Arabidopsis thaliana: one gene and its partner. The protein of the gene in region 1 interacts with the protein of each later gene in a pairwise test. Each region holds a gene or a part of one and is shown in the gene's direction. Other genes may lie near its edges. The genes, in order: AT5G06770 and UBA1A.

Region 1 (11,471 bases):
CTATCTAAGACAGCTAGAGGATAAAGTTAAAGACGGCCAAGAAGAGGAGACAGAGACGATGATGAATGAGATTGATAAATTGGCTGATAGGTTTATAGCAAATTGCCATGAGAAGTTCATGTTGGAGAAAGTTGATTCATATAGGAGATCCCAAGGAACCCTGAATAGAAGCGGTTGATAACGATGATGATGGGGCCTAATTTGTATCTTTCATTTCTTTTTATGTGATTTCACTTTTTCCTTCTTTTCTTCTTTTGAAACTCCTCACATGCATAGTTTGAATTATCTGAAAATGTGTATTGGAAGCATAGGGATATATGGATTGTGTGGTGTTTGTTGTGTTACAGTCTAATGATGATGATATTGATGGTGGTGGTTTATAAACTAGAATAGACGACAGTCCAAAAAGGAGAAGAGAGGATACAAATGGAATGGATTTTTGTAACTTTGGCTTTTGTGGTTTATGACGTTCTTTTGCTACTATCTTCTGATATTGTTGTTTTCTTTTGGTTGTATACAACGGGACCAATTTCGATTTTCAGTTTACTTATCTGACTTTTCTAAGATCCATCAGAAATAAAATATTTCCTTAAATAACATCATTATGCAAAAAATTAAGATAGTGTAACCTTAAAAATGCTAGACAACATATAAAACAAGTTATATTTAAAATATCAAAATGTTGATAAAATTTATAAAGTGTAAATTTTAATTTTCAAAATCTCAGTTTTTCCTAAATTATATAATTGTATTAACTAAAACTACATTAATTTAAAATTATTTATTAACTTTATGTAATATCAATTAAAAATAATATTCATATATAGTTTAAGCTTATGCATAATGGAGCTTATATATAGATAATTTTATTTTTTATGATATATAAAAAATTTAAACATTAAATTAACAAGCCTGATTCTAAACAATTTTAGCATAAAAACCAACTTTTATTTATTATAAATACAAGTCTTAGTTTAGACTTTAGAGACTCCAGTAGAGGTGCCTTAAAAAAAACATACATTTCATATTTTCATTAACAGTTTGGGCCAAACAGGCCTATGTTATCATAAAATAGGCCCAAAATGAAATTAAACAAAAACGCATCGTCTTGTCTTAAGCTGCTTCCGACCAAACTAAGGTTTCTCTCTCCTCCAACTTGGAACTTCCCGTCTTCGATCTTCTCTTCTCTCTCTCTTCATCGCACGCTGTGCCCAGCCAGCTCAAAACACTGCACTTCCGCTTTTTATCAAGATCAATCTCTACCAATACTTAGAAAAGTTCTTTCCTTTTTGTCAAATTCTTTCAATTTCTCTCTTCAATTCCCTACGAATTACTCACTTCGGATCCAATCAGCTCTTTATAGCCTCTGCGTTTGGGAGTCAATCTTTCTCTCTTCGACAATTAAGGGTTTCGTATAAAGATTGCTGTTTTACGACAGGATTCTGAATAAGGAGGTATAATTTCTGTTTTGTACTTAGTTTGAGCGATTTAAGACATTTCTCTTTTGTCCATTGAGAGATCTAACAGTTCTAGGGTTTGAAATATCACTGGAGTTTAAAAAAAAGGGTTTTACTAAATTATTCTCTTTCTTAGGGTTTAAGATATTCTTTTCACATTCTATTAGATTGTTTGATCATCTCATGTCTATTTTTTTTGCTGTCCGAATATTCGCTTAAACTAAAGTTATCCAATTTCTTGATACAATAAGTCCACCAATAAGCTCCTACATTCTCATGAGACCTCGACTGTCAAAATTATTCATGAATCTGATTAGTGCCAATGTTTTTCGTGAAGTACCTGAAAATTTAGTAGTTTGTTAAACTATTGATGTTATAAAGTGTTTTCTACATTTCAGAAGAAGGGTTGGTTTCATTTGGATGGAAAGTATATGGTAGGTCTACACATTAATATGGAAGCGCAGATTCATATACTTGAGCAGGAAGCTTATTCTGCTGTATTAAGAGCTTTTCAAGCACAGGCTGATGAATTTTCTTGGGTAAGTCCTCTTTCTTCCTTTTGCCATCAAAAGACAAAGGATTTGGCTTATATGGTTTCATTTTATAGGATAAAGCAACCGTGATGACAAACCTACGTAAAGAATTGAGGATATCTGATGATGAAAACCGACAACTGTTGAACAATGTCCATAATGATGATCTTATCAAAAGAATAAGGTAACGAGTCTGATCATTTGTGATAGTAAAGCTATGAATCTAGATTTCGTTGTATCTTGTAATAATGTGTTGTATGATGGAACTGGACCAACAGAGATTCGAGACCAAGAGGTGGAAACCAGGTTGTTAGACATCAGTCCCTCGATGTTCATCCTAGTCCGACTTTTTCAGCTTCTCGGAAGAAACAGAAGACGTTCCAATCCGTAAGACTTCTTGTTTTAATCTTTGGTCATAGAACAACAAGCAGAGGATATCTGTATTTGCATATGGTTTTCTGTTTATTTACTGATCATATCATTTGTGATACACATGCAGTATCCGTCGATTGGTTCTACTAGAAGTAAGTCATTCAATAACCGTGTAGTATCAGCAAATGAACCTGCGGAAGCTCTTATTGGAAGAAAAGTGTGGACAAAATGGCCTGAAGACAACAGCTTTTATGAAGCAGTAGTTACACAATACAATGCAAATGAGGTAACTTCTGATGGCTGAGACCTTTTTATTGAGATTGAATCAGAAATTCATATGTTCAGCATTATATATGTTTGTGTGTCGAGGTGTCTCCTGTACTTCGAATATCTGACTCCAAGGCCTCAAAGCCTGATCGAAATTTACCGTATAGTTCAGAGTTACTCTAGTGAGTGAGCATTGCAATTACTTTAGGTTGATTGTAACTGTGTAGAAAGCTAAGCAACTAGTCGAATCGCTTAGCTAGATAGCTCACTAGTTAAAAAGGAAGTTTAGGCAGAATGAGCCGGGGTACTCTGGATTAGTCTAGGATCATGGTTTAGGCATTTGTCGAAAGACTTCTCTAGTTAATCAAGTCTCTCTATAGTGTAGTTCTTGATGAATTGAAGAAAGGAGGTGTTTACTGTTAATGTGCATATGAGGCGTTGAAAAGTATACTATGACTTTGATATATCTAGAAGTTTGGAACTGTATTTAGCGTTGAACATAGCTTAAGTATATTGTAATTGATGCATTCATTGTTCTCTCGCAGGGTCGACATGCGTTGGTATATGATATAAACACAGTGAATGAGACATGGGAATGGGTTGATCTTAATGAGGTAATCTTCACGAGTTTTTGATATTATTAGGTTTTTAAGTTTTTTGTGGAAAATGCTGCCAAGAATGTCTTTTGGGTAAAGTTACATTTGTTTTTGGAGGTAGCTTTCATTAGTAAGATTACGTGGGAAACATTTGTATAGTGTATCCACCTAGTATGAAAACATTTTCAGCAGAATCTGAAGTTAGTTAGTTATATAATTGTAGATTCCAACGAAAGATATAAGATGGGATGGAGAGGAAGATGGGGTAACTTTGAATGTAGGACATGGCGGTGGAACAACTCGTGGGAATCGAAGGACCTTAAGCCATGGTGGTAGAGGGAGAGGTCCAAGAACTCAGCCAAGAAGAGAACATTTAGCAACGGAAAACGGTGGTGGGAGGAAGTTTTTCGGTGAGATTGAATTGTTCAACACAGACTCACTTGTGAAAGAGGTAGGTATCTCTATCTCTCTGCATTTTGTTTCTCTTTAGGCAAAAAGGGTTTTTGATGTCGAAATCTTTCGCATTAGGTCGAGAGAGTTTTTGATTCAAACCTTCCTGATCCACATGAGCTTGATAAGGCCAAGAAGCTACTCAAGGTGAGCGATATGATAATTGATAAGAACTTTGTGACGAGATATCGATTGAAAGAAACAGTGAAGTGAAACTTGGTGTTGTTGTTATTGGATGATATAGGAACATGAACAGGCGCTTATTGCTGCCATTGCAAGGCTTACGGATGCTTCTGATTACGAAAGCGGTAATAAATGTGAACAGCGGCCTTTGTTTATTTCTATTTGTCATGCACTAAGATCACTAACAACAACATAATTTGTGCTGGTGAACCAGATGGAGAAGAACCGTATTCGCATGAGCTTCCAATGCTGCTGGGGTGAGTATGTATGACACCATCACCCCTAGGAAAAATGACTAGCAATATTTCTTTTTCTTCTGTTTTGCTTTAAGGGATCCCAGAAAATGATTTTGTTCATATATGATGAACAATTAGTAGTATTCTTCTAATTTGTGGTTTCAGAATGTATGAAAATAATCGTTAGGAATTTTGTTTGTAAAAACACTATTTTTAAAAAAAAATTCTGAACTTGTGTGATCATCATCAGGCTTGCCATCAGGATCGTTAATAATTTACTTGCTCAAATCCCCAATTCCTGTCTAAACAATGTAAAAAGAATCGAACCAAGCATGTAAATATTGAGAAGAGGCTTTTGACCTTTGAGCATAACATTCAAAATCTGATTCAATTAGCAAGAATATAAGATGGAAAGTGAGATCAACATAAATCACCTGTCACTGAATCCTTCAATTTTAAAAATATTTCAATGGTTACTTTACTTCAATTTATTTTATTGTTTTAAAAAAATATATTCAATGGTTATAAGAACGGTTAACAATAAATTAGTATCAGGGTTATCGTCTTATCGACCCGATGTTAGAAATTTTTTATAATTTTTCTTTTGTTAAAATGACAATCTTAATTCTTAATGGCAATTATATGTTCAATCTTAATGGCAATCTTAAACCGATCGATTATTCAAATTATATGTTCCGTATTTTTTTTAGATTGAATGTTATTGATAGAGTTATCAGAAAAAAATACTACTTTTTAGTTTAAATTACTGTGATTATGATAAAAAATTAAAACGCGCCAAACTTAACGATTTTTTTCCAAAATTTCTACAAATGACTCGTTACCCAAATTATTTTTTCTGTATTTTTTGAATATATTAAAACTAATGTGACTATGATAAAACAATTAAAACGCGCAAATTTAACAATTCTCTATTTTTGAAACCACTGGATGTGAATTAACAATAAATATAAAGTAATATGTGTACAAATAATCAGAGTTGAATATTTTTTTGGTGTTTATTACTTGCATGAGTACAAGTTTGATTCCAGTCTCATCAAATAAACTCTATTATTGTCAAAACATAAATTCATTCTAATGTTAATGTATATACTTTAAATTTATAGTAATCCATATAATTAATAATGGAATTAGTCTCCTGGTCTTTTGGTGTTCCACGAATTAATTTATATTATTAACAAATTAAGCAAACCTCTATCCCCCATTTATATTGTTGAGCTGTGTGTGTGGAGATGATGATGATGATGATAAACCCAATAGAATTTTAAAAGGATAAGAATCGCAAAGCTCATATCACAAAACTTTGAGATCTCATTTCATCTTTCTTCGATTCTACCTACTCCGATTCAATCGATCTTATCGAGACATGGATGCTCGTAAGAGAGGACGCCCTGAAGCTGCTGCCTCTCACAACTCCAATGGCGGATTCAAGAGGTCTAAGCAAGGTTTGTTCTTTCACTCCTCTCCTTCCTATTGTCTCCAATTGGGTTTTAGAAATTCGAGATCTTCACAACAAGAGAGAATGTTTTGGTATCACTTATGTTTGTTCATTTCTAGTTGCAATGTGTGCTCTGTCTCTCGTAAAGGTTGTTCCTTTGTTCATTTTTGTGTTCATTAGAGAGATTAGTCGCAAACCCTTTTTCTGCTTCAGTCTGGTATTACCTTACTTGAGAGTTGGGAGACAATTGATATGAGAAGTTTGTATCTTGTTCTGCTTTGTGTTGTGCTATTGGCTTACCCTTCTTCTCATATTCATTGGATTCATCAATCAACTCCCATTAGCCTTTGTGACCACTCAACATTACTGGATTTACTTGATTGATATATTGATCTGTATCAACTCAAGCTGTTGAGTTCAATTTCAAAACTCTATAACCCTGGAAATTTTCAAAACCAGAATGGTATACTGGTGCCAAGTCCAAATGATATGTATTGAGAAAATTGTAGAAAAGTTTAACCAAGTAAAAGCACTTAATGTTTGCAACAGAGATGGAATCAATTTCAACTGGTTTAGGAAGCAAATCCAAGCCATGCACTAAATTTTTCAGGTTATAAATCTATTTTTTTTCCTGATTGGATCATGAAATTAAGAAGTAATACTGTATAAAGTGTGCTAATGAAGTGGATAGTTGTTATACAGGTACGTAGCACTGTTCATCCTTAAACGAGTTAAAAAGTCAATGTAACAAACTGTGATTCCTCCTAAGAATGGATGATAAGCTTATATGGAGTATAATTTTGGAACTGAACTCTACTGGTGAATCTAATATACAAAATCAACCAAAACTTGTTTTTGTGGCTGTCGTTGTAAACAATTTGTTTATTCTTCTTCTGTTTGATGGTAAGGAAACTGTAATTTTGCATATGCAGCATAAAACCATTGTTCTCAAGTAAGGTTCTTCTTGCATTATCTTTGAACTATCCATGAGTCTTTCGGCTCCTGTGCAACGTGTTGTTCATCGGTGATGCATAATGACTACAATCTGTTTTATTACTTTATAAATTTCTTTCATTATCTTTGTACTAAAACGCTATAGCTTTTTCGAGAAGGTAGCAATAGTGCAACAGCTTGGAGATGTGTCGTTTTGTTCTTTCTCGAATGAATTTGCTGATGCATTATGGTTTGTACTGCAGCACTTCTGGATGTCCATTTGGTGACAATTGCCACTTCTTGCACTATGTGCCCGGTGGGTACAATGCTGCAGCGCAGATGACAAATCTCCGACCACCGGTTTCTCAAGTTTCCAGAAATATGCAAGGATCTGGTGGTCCCGGCGGCAGATTCTCAGGGAGAGGAGATCCAGGATCAGGCCCTGTTTCAATCTTTGGTGCTTCTACTTCCAAGATCAGTGTAGATGCTTCTTTAGCCGGTGCCATCATTGGAAAAGGTGGAATCCATTCCAAACAGATATGCCGTGAAACAGGAGCAAAATTATCGATTAAAGATCATGAAAGAGACCCAAACTTGAAGATTATCGAGCTGGAAGGAACATTTGAACAGATCAATGTAGCGAGTGGGATGGTGAGAGAGCTTATAGGGAGGCTTGGATCAGTGAAGAAACCTCAAGGGATTGGTGGTCCTGAAGGGAAACCACATCCTGGGAGCAACTACAAAACCAAGATCTGTGATAGGTACTCTAAAGGGAACTGTACATATGGAGATAGATGCCATTTTGCTCATGGTGAATCTGAGCTGCGCAGGTCAGGAATCGCTTAGTTATGTCTTTAGACTCTTGAGAACAGATTATGCATTGTTAGCTCCATTATCATTGTGACTTTTTGCTCTCTCTTTTTGTTTTATCAATTTGTTTTATGCGACTCGCTTTGAAAACTTTAGCCCATTCTGTATTGAGCTCTGAAGATTCGACGAGTTCTGTAAGTTACCGATCACAGTTAAAAGACTTTGATATGTTAAAACCCTTATATTACAGCTACATACTATTTTTGTCTTAACTCTTAAGATATCATGCACAATAATATACTTGTTTTGTCTTAACCTATCGATTACAAAACCGGGTTAACCGCCGACATGAGGCGAACTCTAAAGCCTAACACGCGTCAACATCTATCTTCTCAACGACTCAAAGGCTTTCCAACACGTGTAGGACCAATAACTGAAACACAAAGCCTACCACCTCTTCTTCCTCTTCTTTCATGACACGTCTCACTGACGTGTCGTCAAGAACGTAATTAAATATTAAACTATCGTGACGAACGCGAGGCCTATGGCTATATCTATGGGACATGCTCGGTGAGCAAAACAATAAACAAAAGTAATCAGAAGATATCTTTGTAACATCTTTGAATTTCGCTAAAGGAAAAGAGAGAGATTTGGTAAAAATGCAGTCGATGAAAGAAACAGCTTCGAATATTGCAGCTTCTGCAAAATCTGGCATGGACAAAACCAAAGCTACCTTGGAGGAAAAGGTAACAGAATTGTGGTTATTATTAATTTATTGATGTAAAATAATAAAAATGGTGTAACGTTGGGTTTGTTTTGTCTTCAAAAGGCGGAGAAGATGAAGACACGAGACCCTGTTCAGAAACAGATGGCTACACAGGTTAAAGAAGATAAGATCAATCAAGCTGAGATGCAGAAGAGAGAAACGCGTCAGCACAACGCGGCCATGAAAGAAGCGGCTGGAGCCGGAACCGGTTTAGGTTTGGGGACGGCCACTCACTCGACCACTGGACAAGTCGGACACGGCACTGGGACACATCAGATGTCGGCTCTGCCTGGTCACGGAACGGGACAACTGACCGACCGCGTTGTGGAGGGCACGGCTGTGACCGACCCGATTGGAAGGAACACTGGAACTGGTCGGACAACCGCTCATAACACTCACGTTGGTGGTGGTGGTGCCACCGGGTACGGAACCGGCGGGGGATATACTGGATAAACGGTGTTGTTCACTTGTTCTGTTATTTGCTCTGTTTTTGTTGAATCGAAATTTCGTGGTTTTCTGTCTTACTTTCGTGTTCTGTTTTTTTTTTTTCTTTTTCTTGTGCTTCTGAATAATTGTAGGACTTCGATCTCATCTAGGTTTTTGTTGTTGGATGATAGTCTTACTTTATGAGTAGAATGTTCATGCAATGTAACAGTAGTAAAATTATCCGTTAACAATATTGTGCCCATGCAACTTAACAATAACAATACATTGCTAACTTTTTGAACTTTGAAGAGAAACATTGCTAATGCTAAGTTTTTGAAGAGAAGCATTCGCATCATATTTGAATTAATCTACTATGTTATCAAAGAAAAATTATTTCTCTGCGCAATGGGTTTGTATAAAACAACATGTACCATGCGTGAATATTCTTAAAATAGTCACTTCGTTTTGAACCATGAAGATTTTTAACGATTAGATGATCATTGATCCGACATTAGTATTTGAAGTACAAAACCAAAGTCAAAAGACTCACAATTATAACCTTTACAGTTTTTGGTACGTTTTCGATTTTCACGCTGACTCTTCTTCCTTCTTCGGTTGCTCTATAATCGTCCAATCTGATTTGGATCTTCGTTGGTGTTTTTTTTTGTGGTTGTAGGAAGAAAAATGTCTTTCAGTTTTTGGAAAGGAGGAGGCTAAACATGGAGTGGAGATGGCTTTGATTGATTTGGATGCTTTTCAGTTTTTTGTTAACATGGAGTACAACGATATGCACGAGACTCCACTGGGATCTCATAGTATCCAAGCTGATATTGATGATCCAACAACTTTGAAGTCAAGACCACAAACTCATGATGTAGAACCTAATCAGTTTCCCATTACTTCCTCATCAAGGGATCACCCGCAAGGAGCGTGATATTATCAAGCTCAAAGCCCAGTTTGTGGCTGATTTTGGAATGCCTTTTGGGCAGGATTTGGTGATGAAGAGTGTGTTTATGAAACCTGAGCTTGAGCGGTTGATCCTCTGTTTAGGTTTGTCAAATGCTTTTAACTTTTTTTAAGAAGAAACGCGTTTTTAGACTTCTATTTCTAAATAAATCGACAAAAACAAAAATATGATGTAAGATCCTTGGTAATACGTACCAAAAATCACGTCATCAATTGAATTTAATTTTAATTTATAGAGACAACTTTAATTTACACAAATCATATTTTTCACACTTTGCTTCAACTACTCTCTCACTCTTGAAGACCAACGAAAGTCTTTTCCTTTTTCTCCAAAAATCTCACATTTTTTTTCTTCAGTTTCATCTAAAAAGATTCAATTCATATCGAAAATAAAAAAGGAACAAACTTTGCTTTTTGTTTTCGCAATCTCCGATTCGTTAACTCGTTTTCTCTCTTCACCTGTTTCAAGCTTTTCGATCCAACAAATCACGAGATTCCTCTTTCCGGTGTGGTCTCCGGCGACCTAAAATAAAGAGTTAATTCTCGTGGTCGTGGAGAGCAAATGAGGGATGTTCTCCTGGTTAGCGAGAATGGCTCTTTTTTGTTTACGACCTATGCGGCGATACGGTCGTATGAACAGAGATGATGACGATGATGATGATCACGACGGTGACTCTTCTTCCTCCGGTGACTCCCTTCTTTGGTCTAGAGAACTCGAGAGACATTCTTTCGGAGATTTCTCTATTGCTGTTGTGCAAGCTAACGAGGTTATTGAAGATCATAGTCAAGTCGAGACTGGAAACGGTGCCGTTTTCGTCGGAGTTTACGATGGTCATGGTGGTCCTGAAGCTTCTAGATACATCTCTGATCATCTCTTTTCTCATTTGATGAGTTAGTTTTTTTTAATCTCTTTTTGTCTTCTTCAAGTCAAACAAAATCTCTTTTTGTGTTCTTCAAGTCAAACACTAAGTCCACTTTGATATTCTGTGTCTGTGTGTGTTTCTTCTTCTTGATTTGGTTTTGATGATCGGATAATTTTTGTAGAAAGTTGAAATCTTTATGCATCTGATGAACAGTGAAGTGAATCTTGACTTTTTCTTTATCATTTTTTGGTGAGCTACCTACTTTTTGGCAGGTTATCTTTGTCTTGTGTGTCTCTCTGTTTGTTCGTTTCTGGATTTTTGTAGCTTTGTCTTGTTCCTTTTGTGGATTACAATGGTTTTCATTAGCTGCTTATTGATTAAAGTTTTGATCTTTTAGGAGTTTCGAGAGAAAGGAGTTGTATTTCAGAGGAGGCTTTAAGAGCTGCATTTTCTGCTACTGAGGAAGGGTTTCTCACGCTTGTGCGAAGGACTTGCGGGTTGAAACCGTTGATTGCAGCTGTTGGATCTTGTTGTTTGGTTGGAGTTATTTGGAAAGGGACTTTGCTTATCGCTAATGTTGGTGATTCTCGTGCTGTGCTTGGTTCCATGGGTAGTAATAATAATAGGTCAAACAAGATTGTAGCTGAGCAACTGACTAGTGATCACAATGCTGCTTTGGAAGAAGTTAGACAAGAGCTTAGGTCGTTGCATCCTGATGATTCACATATCGTTGTCCTTAAACATGGTGTGTGGCGCATCAAAGGCATCATTCAGGTTTGCAAAGCTCTCTAATCACATATTTAAATGCCTGTGACACTATGATAAGAACAAAGCTATGAAACTGCTATTATTATGGTTCCAATTCACTAAACAAGAGAGACTTGATTAATGATTAGCTCTTTGCACAAGTAGACAGACCCTTTGTGTCATCTTGGCTTATCAAACTATAAGTCAATATTGTGTTTCATTTGTGCAGGTATCTAGATCAATAGGGGATGCATATTTAAAGCGCCCAGAGTTCTCACTTGACCCTTCATTTCCGCGGTTCCATCTCGCTGAAGAACTACAAAGACCTGTTTTATCAGCAGAGCCTTGTGTCTACACAAGAGTCTTACAAACAAGTGACAAGTTTGTGATATTCGCATCAGATGGACTCT
Region 2 (10,434 bases), on another chromosome or scaffold:
AGACAAAAGAAGAGGATCTAGTTAGTATTCTAATTTTTCACTAACTATTGTGTAACAGAATTCCTCTGGCTTGTCTCACCATTTCTAGTCTCTGATGTCGCTTATTCAAACATAAATCACCCAGGAACCAGGTAAAGCAAAAGCCCACATATTCAGCAAACTATTTTTTACGAAAGTCTATCATGTGACCAAATGAGGAACACTTATAATCAGGAAAACGCCAATGACTGAAAACAAAAACAAAGGAAGAAGTATGGAAATTGTACCCAGGCTGGCAACAACAGAGACACAATTCACGGCAAGGCTGTGCTAAGTCATTGCGAACCCTTCGATCATAGCAGGTTATGACGCATCCAGATAGACCCAGCAGAGCAAAGAATAATAAAGCTCCTGCACACAACAAAATCCTCATGTAAATAAACACCAGTAGCTCATACACACATGTAAAATTTTAGAATCACTTGGTATAAATTTCTTTAGTAACAAATTTTCATGAAGAGCTGTGTAAAACACAAAATTTTAATTACTAAATTCTAATACACTTGCTTTGAAAATTCTTATTTAGTTAAAAATTCTACGAGGTCCAGAACTCTAACTGTATATTCGTAACGTAGCCAACCCCTTAACTTTTGATCTAAATCTAACTGATCACAAAACCCTTGCTTCACTTCCTACTACGTAGAGGCAATGAAATCATCTAATAGCAAACTCCTTACATTGGAATCTAAGATTCTGATTGAAGCAAAGCTTTAACAAGGACTGTAGGACATATGTACAATAATAAACTTAGCATTCCCGTCTTACCAACTACACTTGGCAGAGGTCTTACTAAAAAATATTATCTTATCTAGAGGGGAATTTATTTAGATATTAAAGTTTGGGATCATACCACACATGTAATAAAACGTGACCTCACTGTCAAAACCCCATATATGACGAAGCCATGATTGCTGGTAACTATCTATGAAATAGACCATGTAGGCCAATGCAGCAATCACCTGTGAGCAGATGAAGTCATTTAAAAGGCATGAGTTAGATATATTACCAAATGAAAGAAAAACTACTGTAAGAAACAGAAGCACACATGAAAAATGAATACTTACAAGCTGAACAGCAAGAAATATGGATAAAATGTCTCGAGTAACAAAGAAGCGAAACTTCAATGTCCGCCATTTCCTATCTCCAGCACTGTGAACTCTCAGATAATATGGAGCCTTGCAAGTTGTGCAGTGCGCAAACGCGAAACCTTCCTGCAATAAAACGAGCTTACCAGGCGTCAACATCTGCTATTCATTATTTTACCATGATACTACCAAAAACACCACCACTCTAATCATCACTCATGAAACATATATCAACTCTGAAAATTTCACATCCAAAACCATCATTCTTTAGTTGTTTAGCCTTCGAATGGTTTTCGTATTCAACAAAAATAGAAATTTACAACAAAAGGGAAGTTCCTATTCAATAACACTTACACAGGTTGTCATATTTGATTGAAAATGGAAGGGATAACAACAAATAGTCAAAGAGTGAAAGCGAGCATTCATAGCTTTCAAGTTTCAAGTAACACTAACGACAGCCAAGCATGGACCCAAGTTGAGCTAAAGCGTATGAAAAAATGGAACCTTTATAGCTCTCCAATGATCCAAGCAATCACGATGTACATACTTTGATGTTCCTTTGCATTTGCATGGGGCAATGAAATCCCTACCTGACCATGATCAATAAATGAGCTTGAATCAACCAAGTAAGTTAGAACAAAAGCTCTCTCACTATATCACGGTTTTAAATCACTAGTCTTTTATAAAAAAAGAGTTTATCACTAACACTAATCTAAATCACATCAGAACCATTAACGATCTAGCCAATTCGAATTTCATAATCCGAATTCTTGAACTGAAGTTAGACATATCTATGAGCACATGAAAATGTTCAACAATCACTAGCAAGAAGCAAAGAATCTATTTAAGGAAGAAGCGAATCTAAATGGTTTTAGAAGACATTACCATCAGTTTCAAGGCAGATTCGGCACTGAATTTGTTCACCAGGTCCTCCAGCTTCGAGATCGATCTCGGAAGGCTCGACCATCGGCGACGGTGGAACCAACGGCGACAATTCCAGTTCGTCCGCCATTCAATTTCGAAATCTGGGTAAAACCCACGAATACCCAGAAAGAGAGAATAGAAAAGATCGAGACTTCGTCGAGCTATGATCCGATTTCGTTAGTTTAGCATTTATCGGTAGGTTTTTGTTGCCGTTAAACAAGTATGTGAATTGACCCGTCACTCACCGGTTCTTCGCCGGCACACAAAAACCAGAAATGTTGTATCTTTTTCCTTTTCTGTATTTTGACGTTTTTGCCCCTCTACTAATTCATGTTAAAAAAAAAAATTATGTGTTGCAAAAAAAAAAGCATGTCTGAGCCCGGGTTCGAACCGGGGACCTCTAGTGTGTGAGACTAGCGTGATAACCGACTACACCACCCAGACGTTTTTGTTAGACTCTTTACTTTATTATAAATATACTTAAATAATCTAGTGTTCTCTGGTGCACCCTATTTTAGAGGAGTTACTCTATTCAGAGTGTTTTTTTTGGTAGCCACTGCCGTCAACAATGGCGAAAGAAGGAGAAGAACGTAAGAAGGAGAAGAAAGAGAAGAAGGAGAGGAAGGAGAGGAAGCGTCGCGAAGCTGAAGAACTCGCTGTAAGAGAGAAGAAAATCTCAAAAAAACATAAATCGAAATCCAAAGAGGAAGAGAAACCAGAGAAATCAAAGAAGAAATCGAAGAAATACGAAGAAGTAGAAGAAGAGGAGAAATCTCCATCTCCATCTCCATCTCCTAAGAAATCGAAGGAGAGTAAGAAGAAACATAAGAGATCATCAGATGAATCCGAAGAGATCGTCGATTCAAAGCCTGTTACGGTCCCGATTGTTACCATTGAGTCTGATTCTGATTTCGAATTCGATAAGGAAGATATTAAGAATCTACTTGAATCTTACTCTAAAGAGGAGCTTATTAACCTAATTTACAAAACTGCTGAGAAAGGTTCTAAATTGATCTCAGCAGTGTTTGAATCAGCGGATAGAGATAGTTCTCAACGGAACATATTCGTGCGTGGTCTTGGATGGGATACAACGCATGAGAATCTCAAGGCGGCTTTTGAGGTTTATGGGGAGATAACGGAATGTTCTGTGGTTATGGATAAAGATACAGGAAGAGCTAAAGGTTTTGGCTTTGTGTTGTTTAAGACGCGTAAAGGAGCGAGAGCGGCGTTGAAGAATCCGGAGAAGAGAATGTATAATCGAACTGTTAGTTGTTTACCAGCTAGGCCGTTTAATTCTGGAAAGCCACGAGAACAACAACAACCGGTTGAGTCTGTGAAGATTGATTTGAGTCATACGGGTAATCAGAGTGAAATGGCTTTGCCTGGGATTGATTTGGGTCATGGACTTGATAAGGGACATCAGCAGCAGCAGAATATGTCAATGTATGCTGGACAGAACATGCCCTTTTATGGACATTCTCAGCCTCCTCCTGGTTTTAATCCTATGTATGGTGCAATGATGGGTAATCCGATGGTTGCTGGTTTACAGAATTATCGTATGTTTGGCTCGGGTATGATGAATCAAGGACCTATGATGCCACCGAATCATATGGGAATGGTGGGACAATATGTTGGTGATGGTAATGTTAACGGTGTTGGTGCGGGTGCTGGTGCTGGTGCTGGTTTTGATGGTGAACGTGCTTGGTATCTGAGATAAGAGAACCCAAGTGGTATGACCATGTTCTCTGATATTTCAAGTTATAGATTAGGCTAATGATTAGTCCGGTATCTTCGACTCCAACTTGATATTTTGGGAATTGCAGGAGTTTTTTTTGCGGATCTTTATTTTCTATGCCTGATGTTTCAAACCTACTTTTTTAGTTTCATTATTTATAGTCTCTTTTAACGAGGTATCTACCCCTATATGAGCCATTTTGAGGGAGATGTGTGCTCAAAGGATGAATTTTCTGTTGCTCTCTGGAAGTCTGTCATTGGTGTTCTGCTCTGTTCTCATAAACCAGTGAAATGTGGTCATTTTGTCTAGAAGATTTAGTTACTAGGATCAATATTGGTTTAAAGTAGTTTGCTATCTCTTTGTTTTCCCTTTTGGAGTCCCCCATTATGGTCTTCTGTCTTCTCCTTACCCATCAAACTCACGTCTGGTTTTCTTCTGTGGCATGGCGTATGTTTTTCTCTTTTGTTTTTCCTTGTTTTTGGTTTTATGTTTTCCCGCATTTTCATTGAATATCTGTTCGCTATAGCTGGAGAAGAAGCTTATGACATTTATAGTTTTGTCCACTATATGTCATAACTGCCAAAAGTCTGTATCTTCCAGCTGCAGTTGTCTTGAGACCCGTTTGTAGGATCAGACATAATGGTTTTACATTCTTGTTTTAAATCTGTCTTTTTGAGTACTGGAAAAAGTTTTGGGACTCTTTCAAAAGCTTCAAGTTGATTTTCTCTGGAATAAACAACCTGAGTTTTCTTTCCTTCAAGCATTGTTTTCTTCCCCATAGGTTTTTATAAGCTTCTCAATCTCTTTCATCACATTCCTCTTTTATGGTAGTGTCGCCCCTTTCTCTTTTGTATTTAAGAGTCCATTTTGATATCAGTTGCCAAGTTTTCTTGCCTAAGTTCAAGATTGTTTTTGGTCATCGGTACTTGGACCCAATTTGTTTTTCACCTTACATAGCTTTGTTCTGGATTTACCTTTTTTTTACCTGCTCGTTATTCATATTCTATATAACTCTGGTTATGGTAGCAAAGCATACTTGTTTTTTTTTTTTTTTTCTTTGGATTTTCACAATGACCTCACAGTGACCGATGATGCGAATGCTTGTTTTCTTAAGAGGATCAATCTTGTTTTCAGTTTTTCGATTTCTTAAGAGGATCAATCTTGTTTCTCGGTTTTTGGTCTTCTCTGCAGCTATCCATCCATCCATATGAATCAACTCGTATTAATCTATAGTATGCTTCAGCTAAATCAACTTTGGTTTGGTTTTGGTCATTTGATTTCGTTGTTTTGTGATCATGATCTTATGAGGGCTTTGTTTTTCTTTCCAATGGGGAAACTCTGAAAATCTTAAGAACAAAAACAAAACCCTCTCTAAGATCTCGGTGACTATTTTTTTAGTTTCTCATAACACATAAAGATAAAAAAGAAAGAAAAAAAAGTTTCAACTGGTGAATGAATAAACAAGTAGCAGAGCGACACCACCAATATGGCTAAAACCTCTGCCTAGCCAGGAATCTTTTCTGACGGCGCTCTAAAAGAAAAGTACCACAAAGTTCACACCCCGTAAAGTTAGGGAGCTTATGGTATTCCGGTTGATGTATAGCCATCATAACTTAAAGCCAGCATCTTGCCATGTAACCTCTACAAAGATCTAAGGCCTTATCTTAAATATAAAGCAAATATTTAAAAATATGTAAAATAATAAAAATATTCAAAATAAACCAATCCAAAAATAATCTAAATATTTGAAAATATATTCAAAGCAAAATACTCGAATAAAAAAAAAATTAAACTGAAAAAATCGGAAAAACGACATCTCGAGGATAAAGTAAATCGAACTCTTGACCCGAGGGGAAACAGGAAACTGAAATCAAAAATCAAAAATCAAAATCCCTAAAAGCTTCTTGACTCGTTTATCCTCTACTACAATGGCGAAAACCCTAGACAAATCTAAGAAGCGCAAACTCGTGAAATCCAAATCCACGAATTTCGATAAGAAACAGAAGATTAACAAACAACAACAACAACCAGAATCCTCAACGCCATATTCAAGTTCAAGCTCCAGCTCTGATTCTAGCGATTCCGAATCAGACAACGAATTCGACCCAGAAGAGCTCCGTGAGCTTCTACAACCTTATTCCAAGGACCAGCTTGTCGATCTAGTTTGTTCCGCTTCTCGAATCGGATCTTCGATCTATTCCGCCGTCGTAGAAGCCGCAGATCGTGATGTTACACACAGGAAAATCTTCGTTTATGGTCTTCCATGGGAGACGACTCGCGAGACTCTTGTTGGAGTCTTTGAAGGTTATGGTGAGATTGAAGAGTGTACCGTTGTTATAGATAAGGCTACTGGTAAGGCTAAAGGGTTTGGATTTGTTATGTTCAAGACTAGGAAAGGAGCTAAAGAAGCTCTTAAAGAACCGAAGAAGAGGATTCTTAATAGAACTGCCACTTGCCAGCTTGCTTCTATGGGTCCTGCGGCTTCAGGAAAGGGGCATGATCAACCTGGTCCGGTGAAGATTAGTATGGGTTCGATGGCTAATCATGGACAGCCTCAGCAACAGCAGGTACAAGGTCAACATGTGTTTAACGGTGGTGGAATGGCTGCTTCGCCGTTTATGTTAGGGAACCAATACCATCCGCTTTATGGAGCTGGGATGTTGGGAAATCCAGCTTTAGCAGCAGCAGCAGCAGCTGGGGGAGGTTACATGTATCCGATGTTAGCGGGTGCTCTAGCACATGGCGGGTTGGGTTCTGATATGGTACAGTCTAGTCAAATGGGTGGGATTGGTGTTGATCCAAGCGTTGGTGCTGCTGGTCTTTCAGCTCTAGGTTCTTACTTTAGAGGTCAGAGTCTGCCTAGTACTTATCCTGATTCGGATGCTGGTGGAAAAAGAGGGACGGGTAAAGATTCGGATGCTGGTGGCTCCTCCTTTCATGGCTACTCAAACTATTCATGGTACGTTCACTGAAACCTTTGGTGTTTTGTAGCAATGTTTGTGCTAATATTGTGGTTTGAATGTCTTTGGATAAGCATAAATTCATTGTAGCTCCGTCATGTGTAGATAAATGGATTAAGGCTTTTGTGGTAGTACCGGAATTTTATCTGACATTATTATGCCTCTCTAGTCAAATAGTTGGCTTAAATGCCTAAATATGTATATTCCTAGGAGGAACTGCTACAGGAATTAAATACCTAAATTATGTTCTAGAGGTAGGTTAGCATTGTCATCGGTTGCCGTAATTCATTATTCATGAATCTTGCTTCGACTCTATTTCAAGTAGATGCAATGTGACCCACCATACTTTTGTTTTTTTTGTTTTCTCCATTATTTTTCCTTTTGTTGGTTTATGTTTTGTTTTCTTTTCTTTACTGTCCCTGGTTTTACAGTTTTCTCAAGTGCCATTTGTTTTATCGAAGTTAGTTTCTCTATAGGTTGGTGATGGTGGGGACGAATATTGTTACATTCTTTTTGTCTCTTGGCTTTTTTTGTTTTAGTGTTGCACTGGGTTTTATAAACTGAACGTCCACCATCTCTCCACTCATCTGGTTTTGGTGCTAACGTCTTTAAACGGACTGTAAACTATAGCATCTGTTCATGCTGTTGCACTCATGGTTTTAGACTTAAGTTTGAGTTTTAACATTTTTTTTATGTTTGTCCCTTTGATTTCTATTGTTTTCACTTTTCGGGGTTATCTTACCAGAAAGATAGAGCATTGCTCTTGTTTCCATATGTTTTTCTTTTTGTCTTCAGCTTTTGATAGAGTTATGTTTTGTTTTGTTTTCTTGAACTCCAACTTTTGCAGATGGTGTGGGCTGAGCATGAGAATGATAAACATGCAGTTTCTGGGGATTTCTTTTTAACATTTCTATCAAAGTCAGTACGTTTTAGTTTTTTTTTGTATTGTTTTTTCTTCCTTTCTTTTTTTTTCTGTTTGATGTCACTCTTGTCCGATATCATACGATAGACAGTCTGTGGCTCAAGTAATATCATTGTGATTATTCGTTAAAGACCTCTGTGCAATCTGTATTGTGACCTCTGGGGAAAAAGGTTTGCTCTATGAGGACTCAATAGGATTTAACTTTCTTTTAACTATTTATGACAGCTAAAGTTGACCCTTGAAGTTGTTATATAAATTTGATCGCATTTGATGACCTCATAGAGATATGCATATATCATTAATGATGGGCTAAAGAAAAGAAAGCTGGTGCCATTGGATCTGAAAATGTTACACTAAACAAAGTCTTGGTTTATGGAACAACAAAGACACAGTTGAAGCTAAAGCTGATGATGCCTTAAGATTCTCTCCTCTTCAGGTAAAAACCGATAACAAGTTTTGATTTTTGAATCTAAAATGTTAGGAGATCAAAGCGGTTTGTTCACTTCTTCCTCTTCTTTGGTGGCTGAAGCGCTTCCTCATCATCTTCATCTTCTTCCTCTTCCTCCTCCTCTACCTCCGCATCCTCATCGTCGTCTTCTTCACCACCATCATCATTCTCGTCTTCATCCTCCTCCTCATCTTCATCATCGTTCTCATGGTTATCATCATCCTCGTCATCGTTACCATCATCCCCTTCAGGTTCATCATCATTATCTCCAGCTTCACCGTTCAAATCAGGATCACTTACCGGTCCTTTCTTGGTCTCCTTTCCTTCTGCATCATCTGCACTGCCTTCTTCGTCTTCTCCTCCATCATCACCACTATCATCATTGTTTCCATTGCCTTCCACTGCATCAACCACCTCATATCCATTCTCTATAACATCACCCTTCAAGACAGTAACCTGCAGCTTCATATTCATTTTATCACTACCAGAAACAATCTTTTACCAAGTTAACATGATTTTACAAATTGGGCCGACATACTAAATTAGGACATGGGCTTCTTCTAGACATTAAATTTGAAAAACTTGGAAGCATAATATATGGAATATACCTTTTTGATTTTTTTTGGACCTACAATTTATAATTTAGATTTTAAAAATCTATCTTAATATTCCCCATTAAAAGCAACCGTCCTCAACTAATAGCTATTATTATATACATACCCTCACAATATTTAACCAAAACTTTTTAATTTTATATATTTTTCCAACCACCCATTCTGATGAAGTAACGCTTCAAGTCGGTCAAGATTTAGTTTTGTAGCCAAAAAAATTTGTGTGAAACTTTTGTGTAGAAAAAAATCTATTTTTATAAAGTTGTTGTTTTGTGCGACCGCGAATACTTGTAAACGTTTGTTAAGAAGGAAAAAAAAAAAAGTTGAAAATAGAAAAAGCTTGCCTGAGAGAAGAGCTCTAGCAAAGAAGAGAGCATAGTAGCCGTTAAAGCCAAAGCGGCGCAGTTTAGCACTAAAGCGTTACCGAGAACCAGAGACAACCTCATACTCATACCTTGTTCTTTCAACTCCATTCTTTCTTCACTCTGTATTTAACAGTTATGAAAACCGTTAGATCTGCAATAATAATAACTAAAGCAAAATTTTCAGACAACTTTCTTGTCCATTTATCAAATATGGAGCAATCTTCGTTTTGAAGTTATTGACGAGAAAAAAAAAAGACAAAACAGAGCAATCATAGAAAGAATCATGAAAAACAGAGGAAACAACCAAGTTTAGAGGTTGTCCTCTACTTCAATATTTGACAACATACAAAACAATAATCTAAGAAACAAAATAAACAGATACAAGAAGAAGAAGAACGTACCAAAGAAAAGCTCTGTAATTAGCGGAAAAAGGAAGAAAGAAAGAGAAAAGGACTAGAAGAAATGAGCTCTGTTCATTAATGGAAAAAGTGTGAGATTTGTGATCAAAGAAGAGTTGTTCAGAATCTCAGATATAGGAGAAGAGAGAGATGAGAGATGAAAGAGAAGAGTGTGAAGCTGCCCGTAGTTGTTACTACGAATCCTTAGGGCAGTACGGGCAGTGACTCTATGTGATCATCTCTAATTGACCTGCCACGTAAGCTACACAAGTGTGGGCTCTCTCTGTTAAGTCATACATTTTATGCCGACCAAGATCTTTCTTCATCTATGTATTAATGTATGTATGTAGTCAATGGTTAGTAAAAACTAAAAAGAAAAGCTTTTGGTAACAAACAGAACCATATTCTCTTCTTCTTCTCCTTCTTCTTCTATACTTCTTTCTGATTGTTCCAATTCCATTTCCTCTTTATGCTTTTCCCAAAAATATCTCAATCGTTCATTATATCCTTCTCCTTTAGCACTAAAGACTCACATGCCATGTCATCTTATTCTAATGCTCAATAACTATGATGATGATGGAACTTACATACCAATTAAACAATGAAAGAGGAAAACTTTTGTTGGTTTCCCTCCAACGAAGCCATACCTGAATCTGTTCTGTACAATGGCTTGAGTTAGACCTTATGAGAATTCTTTGGATCTTCCTTATTTTCACCAATAATCTCGGCAAGAACAAAACCCATCTTTGAAATGGTGAAATCTTGTTGTATCTCTCACTATGATTTCCCTTCCCACAAGCTTGGAAATGAACTTTATAGCCGTGTGGCAATCATTGCACACTCTGAGATTCTTCATGATCCTCAATGTGGTTTTATCCGGAGTGCTAATTAGTCCAAATGCGATTGCTAGTTTCTCGCTGTGGTGCCTTAGAATCTGTTCTTTAACC

What was found.
Region 2: the proteins of AT5G06770 (region 1) and UBA1A interact in binary tests that used the Arabidopsis thaliana proteins (3 or more experiments, as listed by UniProt).

Annotation. Positions count from the first base shown.
Region 1 is NC_003076.8:2,086,795-2,098,265, reverse strand, and holds AT5G06770 (KH domain-containing protein / zinc finger (CCCH type) family protein), read left to right. Parts: upstream 1-5,264; 5' UTR 5,265-5,478; coding exon 5,479-5,557; exon of another isoform or gene 5,558-6,086; coding exon of another isoform or gene 6,087-6,099; coding exon 6,100-6,160; exon of another isoform or gene 6,161-6,687; coding exon of another isoform or gene 6,688-6,746; coding exon 6,747-7,329; 3' UTR 7,330-7,563; downstream 7,564-11,471. Other genes in the region: AT5G06790 (cotton fiber protein), read left to right, coding at 1-178; EML2 (Emsy N Terminus (ENT)/ plant Tudor-like domains-containing protein), read left to right, coding at 1,889-1,996, 2,065-2,174, 2,269-2,377, 2,490-2,648, 3,175-3,243, 3,449-3,676, 3,754-3,822, 3,920-3,983 and 1 more; LEA4-5 (Late Embryogenesis Abundant 4-5), read left to right, coding at 7,953-8,039, 8,123-8,512; AT5G06755 (uncharacterized protein), read left to right, coding at 8,979-9,099, 9,181-9,419; AT5G06750 (Protein phosphatase 2C family protein), read left to right, coding at 10,021-10,342, 10,712-11,088, 11,291-11,471.
Region 2 is NC_003071.7:9,385,728-9,396,161, reverse strand, and holds UBA1A (RNA-binding (RRM/RBD/RNP motifs) family protein), read left to right. Parts: upstream 1-5,655; 5' UTR 5,656-5,711; coding exon 5,712-6,755; 3' UTR 6,756-7,112; downstream 7,113-10,434. Other genes in the region: AT2G22120 (RING/FYVE/PHD zinc finger superfamily protein), read right to left, coding at 267-390, 890-998, 1,104-1,250, 1,629-1,714, 2,010-2,136; AT2G22100 (RNA-binding (RRM/RBD/RNP motifs) family protein), read left to right, coding at 2,617-3,765; AT2G22088 (uncharacterized protein), read right to left, coding at 7,113-7,360, 7,622-7,778; AT2G22080 (uncharacterized protein), read right to left, coding at 8,165-8,569, 9,069-9,197; AT2G22070 (pentatricopeptide (PPR) repeat-containing protein), read right to left, coding at 10,200-10,434. UniProt on the Arabidopsis thaliana protein: Acts as a component of a complex regulating the turnover of mRNAs in the nucleus. Binds with high affinity to RNA molecules that contain U-rich sequences in 3'-UTRs. May function in complex with UBP1 and contribute to the stabilization of mRNAs in the nucleus.